Oryzias latipes: one gene and its partner. The protein of the gene in region 2 interacts with the protein of the main gene of each other region in a biochemical or structural test. Links are inferred from orthologs where the notes say so. Each region holds a gene or a part of one and is shown on either strand. Other genes may lie near its edges.

Region 1 (4,164 bases), on a different chromosome or scaffold from region 2:
GCAAGTCTGCTAAGATGCCAAACCTTTCCTTAATGCAGAGGTCTGTAGAATTCAACACTTAAAGTCCCACTCTGATCATCCTTTGATCTATTTGGAAAGTGTTCACCATAGTCTTTTAATCGTGATTGTGCCGATTTTAGCAAAAAACAAAAGAAATAAAGGTTTCTGCAGAGCAGCAGGAGTTCATTAGAAATTCACCTCTGAGCTGTGGGCGGGACCTCCACGAGGTCAGGGAGTAAGCCTGCCCTCATGTCCCATCAGCCCTTTGTTTACACTCTCTGTGCAACTAAAAACGTGAGCAATATCAGAGCTATCCAGTTGTACAGTTAAGATCCAGATTCCAGCTCAGACTAGGAAAACAAAGACGTGGACCTATTGGTCTGCAGGTGAATGCGTCAGAATGGGGTGGAACTTTTTTTTTTTCATTATCTTAATTAGCTTTATATATACTTTATATATAGTACTCTGCGACAGACTGGCGACCTGTCCAGGGTGTCCCCTGCCTTCGCCCACAAGCGTCTTCGATCATCAGAAAAATGCCACAAAAACATGTTAAAAACACATTTTTTTTTACTGGAGTGGGTCTTTCAAATACCATTCGGGTCACAAGTCTTGGCATTTATGATTACACCAGTTATTGTTTTTTTTTGGCAAGAATAAAACAAAGAGACAATTATTTAACAGAGCTACTTGAGTGACCATACCTGTATTAGTGGACCATAAGAACAGACTTTTGGTGACACGTGGCCCTCAAGTCAGTCAAAATGTTTTAGTAGGACTGGTAAATCGAGAAGGCGCACTGCTTGGTCAATTGCTGAAGCATTATGGGTACTGTAGTCAGAGCCTCACCGAGTGTTTCATCCTGAGCATGGATGGATTAAAGTTTGACTTCTCCGACTGCTTTGCTATGACAAATCTGGCTTTTAGTCTGACAAATACTTTGGTCTTTTTTTTTTGGTCCCTTTTTGTAGCATTTTTCTGCTAACTAGAGTAATAAGATTAAAACTGCATTTCTAGGCATTTCTTTATTCATGCCGTTTAAAAAAATAAGATCCTATTTGTGACGTAGAAAATAGGTTGAGCTAAACTTCTGTAACATGAAAACCAAAAGACACCCACGGGGCAGACACGACATAACTTATACGCCTCTGCCGCACGTGCGACAGGTAACTTCTGTCCTCCCAGGACAGCAGACTGACAGCATCTCGCCTTCCCGAGGGAAACAATCCGCCTCACTAATGATGCGTCTGCAGCACCGGCCTGAAGTCATCACAGCCGCCTGCCTCCTTGATGCTGCCGGGTCACGCCAGGTCAGGAAGCAACAGCCCTTTCCAGTAAATGATTCACAGCCCCGCGTGGCTTCAGGCTACTGTTTTCTACGCAACACACACCTAAAAACAACAACTGCAACAACAGGGACAAATTCTTATTTGGTCTTTTTCTGACAGGTCCGGGTTGTTTTCTATGTGGAATAAAACCTCTAGATAAAAGACAAGTTCTACTTTACACGACACAGAACAAATCACTCCAATTCAAAGAAATCTAACAAAATAAAGTCATTATAATTACGTTTTGTATATGCTTTGGGTCACAAATAAAAATGCAAAACTCTGTTCAGACCATATAAAAAGTAATTTAAAATTCAGACAAGTACTTAGCAAATATGTCACGTGCCAAATATTCAATTTTGGCCCCTTTTCCCTGCTCAATCCAGCTGGATTAAAACAAAAACACTCGCATCTCCATGTTGGGGATGGAGTCCCTTAAGGAAATCTTCATTTTTGGAGCCTGTGGAGCCAGGTCACGTGCGTGGTCAGGTGTCTCCGCACCTTCACCAGGTGAGATACTTACTTTTGTCCTTCCATTGATAGTGTAGTTTCCCAGGTTGCCGTTGCAGTGTCTGATCAGATCGTCCATGCGGCCCATGAGGAACCGGATCTTCTCGCAGCCGGGCTCTCGGCCCTCGATCCAGGCGATCTTGTCCCCGCGGATGTCTCGCGTGGAGTCGCTCTTCTGGCTGACCAGCTGTCCGTCCGTGAACTTGCCGGTGTCGTACAGGGCCTTGACGTCCCCCAGGACGCTCAGGCCGGTCTCCTCCCCGAGGAAGCCGTTCACCACGCAGATGCCGTGCGCGTTCATGCACGGCACGATCACCTCCAGCGCGAGCTTCTGCAGGCTCGAGCTCACCTGGCCGTTCGGCGTGGCGGGGCTGCCGCCGTCCTCTCCCGCGGAAACTTCAGGTGCCGCCTGCGCCGGGTCCGCCGGCTCGGGGGGGCTCTTTTCCGGGGGTTTCTGCGCCCGTGTGTCCCCCCCGGGCGGCGGACCCGGCTCAGACTTCACTTTGAGGGGCAGGGGTTTCTCGACCTCCTTACAAATGAGCTTGTGCTTCTTCCAGTGCTGTTTCTGGTGCTCCTTGCTACAGTAGAAGGAGCTCCGGCACCTCCCGCACTTCAGGAGGTTCTCCATTTTCCCGCAAAGTTCACAGTACTGCCGGTCCCGGTCCAGCTCGCTCTGCTGCTGCTTGTCCATGTTTGAAGGATCTTTATTTTATTTTTATTCCACAGTCCTGTCAACCGACAACTTTGGAGACGAGCCCCTGCCCCGCTACGACGAGCAAAAAAGGAGAGAAAAAGTCAAACGCCCGCCATTTTCCTCCATTTTTACGCGTTTCTTCAGTCATTTAAGAGCAGCACGCGCCCCAAACGGAGCGTTCAGGAGCCGTCGGGAGGCATTTCGGCCGGTGTCGTCTGGAACTCTGTGTACTGCATGGCGCGGCTACGTGCGCTGCCTCTGTGCCTTTTCTGTGGTCAAGCCCTCGATGACGTCAAAGCACACGCCCCTCCCCCTCGGAGAGCGTGTCAGGAGCCGTCGGAGAAACGGCAAACTTTTGCAGAAGTTTGAACTCTTTAAGCAGAGGACGGGCGCTTTCGGTTCCGTTCGTGAGCCACTTAGACGAGGTTCTATGCGAACCGTGGTCAGAACTGGTGCGGTTCTGGGTCTAAACAGAGAAATCCCAAACTCTGTGACTTTTTAATGAACCGCAAATGCATCTTTGCGTAGATATCGTGGCTCGTTGGAATTCCTTGAACGCAACATTTTTGAGATATTTATTTAAAAAATGAAAATAATAATAAAAATAAAAGTAAGAAGAAAATAGAAGAGAATAAAAGTCAATATTCGAAAGTTTAATTAAGGACAGTGATTGTTTCAAACGTGAGACTTTTTTTTACTGTTGACCCCCCCCATGCCAATTCCCCCTAAACTAGCGTCAGGAGTATCATTAGTTAATTACTTTACACAGAAAAGTTATTATTACTACTTCAAAAAAATCCAGGGCCAGCATGTAAACAACAAGAAAGAATGAATAAAAAAGTAAAACCTTTCTAATAAGTTTTGGTAAAATTAAAACACTAAAACGCAAAAATGATAGTATATAACAAAATAAAGCTAGAAATTTGGTTAAAAAAGACAAAGTGCAACAATGTTTCATTTGTATTTTAATTCTCAATATTATTCAAAAGTCAGATTTTTGTCAAAAACGGTCTGAATGGGTTCTATCCATAATACCAGTAACTCTATGAAGACTCTCATTCATCCAGGTGATTCCCCTAAACCTATATAATAATACCAGTAATGTTACTAAAAACGTTGAAGTTCTTACCTTTAAAATAAAAATACGCATTGTTATTATGAGGTAGCTTGATTTGTCAAGTACGTTTCAAGACAATTCAAAATGAATTACAAAATGTTGTTTTATTGTGATTAAAAGAGCAGTAAAAAAAAACACAAAAACATTATTATTTTAATTACGTGAAATTCACAAGTGAAAAAAAGGCGACTTTGACTTGAGCATAAATTTAAAGACATTGTAGTTTTCACCGTAGGAATGAAAGTAAGTACTAATGTTATAACATATAATAAAAAGGGTCATAGACACATTAATCATAATTCTGTTGGAGTTGTGTGAGGGACAGAGTTTAACTTTGTTTTTAGGGATTTAGAATTGAAAATAAAATACTTCACTTAAAACAATCTTCACTTATTAGACTTGGTTTCGGGAGCTCTGTGATAAATACCGTTATTTTAAGATTCAGGAAAAATCTGTTTTATTATGGAGGTCACTGGGATGAAATGCAGACAAAGCAGGAATGTCAACAGGGATGA
Region 2 (4,190 bases):
CTGGCTTGGCATTAGCCCAGCCTTAGGGTGAACCTATTTTCAGCAGCAACATGAAAACAGATCTCCACATATGTTGACTCAGCAGACCACGTGGCCTGCTGCAACCCATAGTCTAGGTTGTGGCACCACCTACTGGCCAAATGTAAAAATGACAATCTGCCAAGAGAAAACAGTTCAATGACCTTGTTGCTGGGATCCAGCTTCAGTGCTTTCCTCAGGGTCTGAATAGCTTCTGTGTATTCACCTTTCAAAGAGAGAACCTAGAGGAAAGAACAACCATTTAGCAGACATTCAGCAGCAGCAAGAAGCTCCGGGACTGAGGCCAACCTTGCCCATGCGAAAAAGTGCCTTTATGTTGTCTGGCTGATGCTCAAGAGCTGAAACGCAAGACTTCAGAGCAGCATCGTAATGGTCCAGCTTCAGCTGAGAGGCGGCCATGTTGTTCAGACACTTCACTCTCACATCCAGCAGCTCGTCCTCCTCCTCCGGCCGGATGTCCACTGTCCCACAAAACACAACGACAATATCAAACTTCCTTCTTTTTATATGTATTATTATTATTATTTTGTATTGCTTCACATGTTTGAAATAAATCTCAATCTAAGATCAGAGCAAAAAAGCTAAAAAGATCCACTGAAGACTCATTCACATCTGCAGGGCTTTGATTTTCACGTCATTGTTTGGTTTAAAGTTGCAGTTACTGATCAGTCACCGCAAGATGATCAGGGGGAGGAGCTTTCATTGCCGGGAAAGCGGGACGGCGTCATGAAGGTCTCACCTTTGGAACTGGACTCTGCTATCTGCAGGGCGATGCTGTAGGAGTTGACTGCAAACGCATAGTCTCCACGCTGGTAATGGACGTTGCCCCTCTCTCGTTTACGACTGGCGAGGGCAATCTTTTCTGCGGGGGGCAGCAGCTCCACATCGGGGGCATCAGTGGCCTCCAGGAGTTCCACTTCCAAGGACAGCTGAGCGTTTGGAGGAACACGAGGTTCAAGACTGACACGAGAAAAAAAAAAACAGGCAGGTTTAGTGACTGAAGCAAAAACAGCAGCGCCCCCCCCCCCCAACAAAAAAAAAAGGATGGCATAGTCAGTCTGTTTCTGTGAATCTCCAGGGATCCATACAGTTTATTTCCCAGTGATTCCTTTCCTTTACCCCCATGTCAGGAAAAGACACAGATTCTCTTGAATTAAAGACAAATGTTTGCTTTTTAAGGTCTTATTGACCCAAGTTTATGTAAATGTGAGACATGTCAAGACTTTTTTGACCACGTGTGTCAAAAAGCCCCTCCCACTTACTAAACCACCTGTGAGTAAAATAAAAAGTATTTCATTTGGAGGCTCCTCAGACTCTGGGCTCTGCTACCATCTTTCTAAAGGATGGTTAAAATTCTCTATATCACCAATTTGCAGCGTTTGATGTAGAGTAGCTTATCTCCCACCTTCCTCTGTCTCCATATGCATATTTAGGATCTGACTGGATCAGAGCCTTTTCTCCCATTTCCATAAGCTGGACCGTCAGATCCAGAGCCTGGAAGAAAAGTGTTGACTGACGTTTGACCGGAGACAAATCCACAAAACAAGACCTGCAGACGTAATTTTGAGCGTTGGGGCTAACCCTGACATATATCACCACTAAGGGTTTACCTGGATAACATCACAATCTCCCAAAGTGAAGGAGAAGTTAGGTTGCTCCTCCACCAGAGTCCCATCGATCAGGCTAGCTTTAAGGTGGATCCGTACGTTCTGACCCTTCTGAGGCCGACTGGCTCGTCCCTTCCCGGGCGCCGTGACTTTTTTCTTCAGCTGGCCATTTCCTGCAGAGAGAGAACTGTTGGCTTGTCAAGAACTACCACCAAATGCTTGTTTGGAACTCACAACTACTTCCAGAACCTGTCAGATTCAAAAGACAAATGAAGAACTGTTCTCTCTTCCAAGAAACATCAGCGGGAAGAGGCCAAACAAGTGCCAGACTCACCCAACACATCCAACCACTCATCCAGCTGAGCCGGAGCCTCTGGTTCTTCATGTGGAGACCTCTTCGCCGTCTCATCTGAACTTTTCTCCATCCCACCTCCCGCATCTTCTAAAGGAGGAGGCTCCTCATCAAAGTCCTCTTCATCCACAACCTCGAAGTCTTCTCCGCTGTCCAGCAACGACGTTTGTCCGCTCTTTCTGGCAGAAGAAGAAGCGTTTTCGCGGCCGTCTGCAGCTTCCACGGTCTCCATTCTGGAGAAGACAGTCAAACTGAGGAAGCTCGTTTTCTGTTCGCTTATCTCTGAGCTTCACAGAAAAGCTCTTCAAACAGCAGAATCTGACGTTAACGTACCGACCAGGATATCCGTTACAGTTCCCCAACATTGCATGCAGACAGTTTTACTCCAAACTTCAGAAAACCTGACGTTTCCGTGGGTTTTTAAAAAGTAACGAGGTTTCTCGGTCAAAACCTACATGCTAATGCTAGCGTTAGCTGAAGGTGGCTGGGTTAGCTAGCTATGAGCCAGCGGCTTAGCTTATTTGCATCCATCAAACTAAGAGTTTTTAGTGACACTGACATTTTGACAAAACGAAGTCGTCGATTAGAATCACTTCCAAACGAAGGAACACACACAGAAAAGTTCTTAAAATTGTAAATTAGAACGCGAACATTCACCTCCAGCCTTGTTTTGGTCCAACAGCCGCGTCCCGATCCTTCAAGCTCACGCAGGAAGTTAGACTGCGAATAGAAAAGTCTAGAGCGCACGGCGCCAACGGGAAGGGCCACAGTGGACACTCAGGCTGACTTCGTCACAGCGGTAGATCCTCGCGCATGCGCAGCAGCACTCTGCATCGCTTTAATGTTTCAAGAAGCTTTTCTCTGCTTTCAGATTAAAAGCCCCCTTAATGGTTCCATTAAAAAACACCCTGTGCTCACTCATGAAACGACGGAGAACATCCTTCACCACGAAAACGCGAACCTTTTAGAGCAGAAAGATCTGTTATGCTTTAGATCCTGATGTCACACAGTTCCAATCATTATTAAACATTTGATGAACCGAAGAACCAGACAAGTTCGCCCAAATAAGTTTCAAAGATAGAAAAACACAATAAATAATGTACTTAAACATTGTTACTAGTTAAAAACAAAAATTTGAAATGAATAAAGGAGTTTTACTGATAAATGTGTTTCACTGATTGAAGGGTGGTAAAAGAATCAGTGGCTGGCACAGAACTTTTACTTTGAAAAACAGAGAACTGCTTGTTGGTCAGTCCTGTAAATTCTTTCAGATGGTGGTGAAATGTAAAATCTCTGATGTCTTCATGTTTTCTGGTTCCTGTGAAAAAGAAGCAGCTGCATTCTGGACTGTAAACTATAAAACACATTTCAACTGATTTTGGTGTCACATAAATCCAAATGTGACCAAAGAATAGCGAAAGATGAAAACGCAAGTTTAGTCATCAAAGCTGTGAGTGATTCTTCCTGGATTTCCTCACACATTTTTACTTTTAAAGCTTAAACGATCTCTGTGTTGTTTCTGCCTCCGATGTGCTGCCGATTGGACATTTTTTAACAAGAATGTCCGGGAAACTTTGCTTATTAGCAGTTTTCACTTTAAGCAAAGGAAGAACTCGGAAGTATTTTTGGTGTCATGAGCCCAAAAGACATTTCTTTACTTCACTCTAGACCACATGTGTCAAACTTAAGGCCCAGGGGGCAAATGTGGCCTACCATGTCATTTTTTGTGGGCCGCGAGAGCATAAAAGTTTTTAGTTTTTTAGAATAAAAATACAAATTGGTTTGTATTTATTCATATCTTGGGGGAATCTGAAAATATCTGATTGGGCAACTATCCATTAGGACTTAAACACTGCCAATATAACCTAACCTGTCAGAATCAAATGTAAAAGGATTTATGCTAGAGTACCATGCAAACACATGTTTTCTATGCCGCTGTAATTGTCACTTTAAAAAGTTATAATAAATAACTAATGAGTTATTTAACATTAAAGAGTATGTACATTTATTTTTCATTACATTTAGTTACATGTATGAGTTATAGCTGGCCCCAGGACAGCCGGCACGCTGATGTGGCCCTCGCTGAAAATCAGTTTGATGCCCCTGCTTTGGACAAAGTGATCTTCTGTAAAAACATCAGCTCCTATGATTCAAGCTAACAAACTTGTATCTAAGTGGTATAAATACCCATG

Evidence for each region.
Region 1: the proteins of fkbp8 (region 2) and egln1 form a complex in vitro, tested with the Homo sapiens proteins (2 studies listed by BioGRID, with this or other methods). The link is inferred for Oryzias latipes from reciprocal best matches to the Homo sapiens genes FKBP8 and EGLN1.

Annotation. Positions count from the first base shown.
Region 1 is NC_019873.2:28,399,783-28,403,946, forward strand, and holds the start of egln1 (egl nine homolog 1), read right to left. Parts: upstream 2,801-4,164; 5' UTR 2,530-2,800; coding exon 1,852-2,529; intron 1-1,851. UniProt on the Homo sapiens protein: Cellular oxygen sensor that catalyzes, under normoxic conditions, the post-translational formation of 4-hydroxyproline in hypoxia-inducible factor (HIF) alpha proteins.
Region 2 is NC_019862.2:8,042,253-8,046,442, forward strand, and holds the start of fkbp8 (peptidyl-prolyl cis-trans isomerase FKBP8), read right to left. Parts: upstream 2,801-4,190; 5' UTR 2,364-2,800; coding exon 2,332-2,363; intron 2,232-2,331; coding exon 1,981-2,231; intron 1,820-1,980; coding exon 1,650-1,819; intron 1,534-1,649; coding exon 1,445-1,533; intron 1,000-1,444; coding exon 779-999; intron 501-778; coding exon 328-500; intron 261-327; coding exon 183-260; intron 1-182. UniProt on the Homo sapiens protein: Constitutively inactive PPiase, which becomes active when bound to calmodulin and calcium. Seems to act as a chaperone for BCL2, targets it to the mitochondria and modulates its phosphorylation state.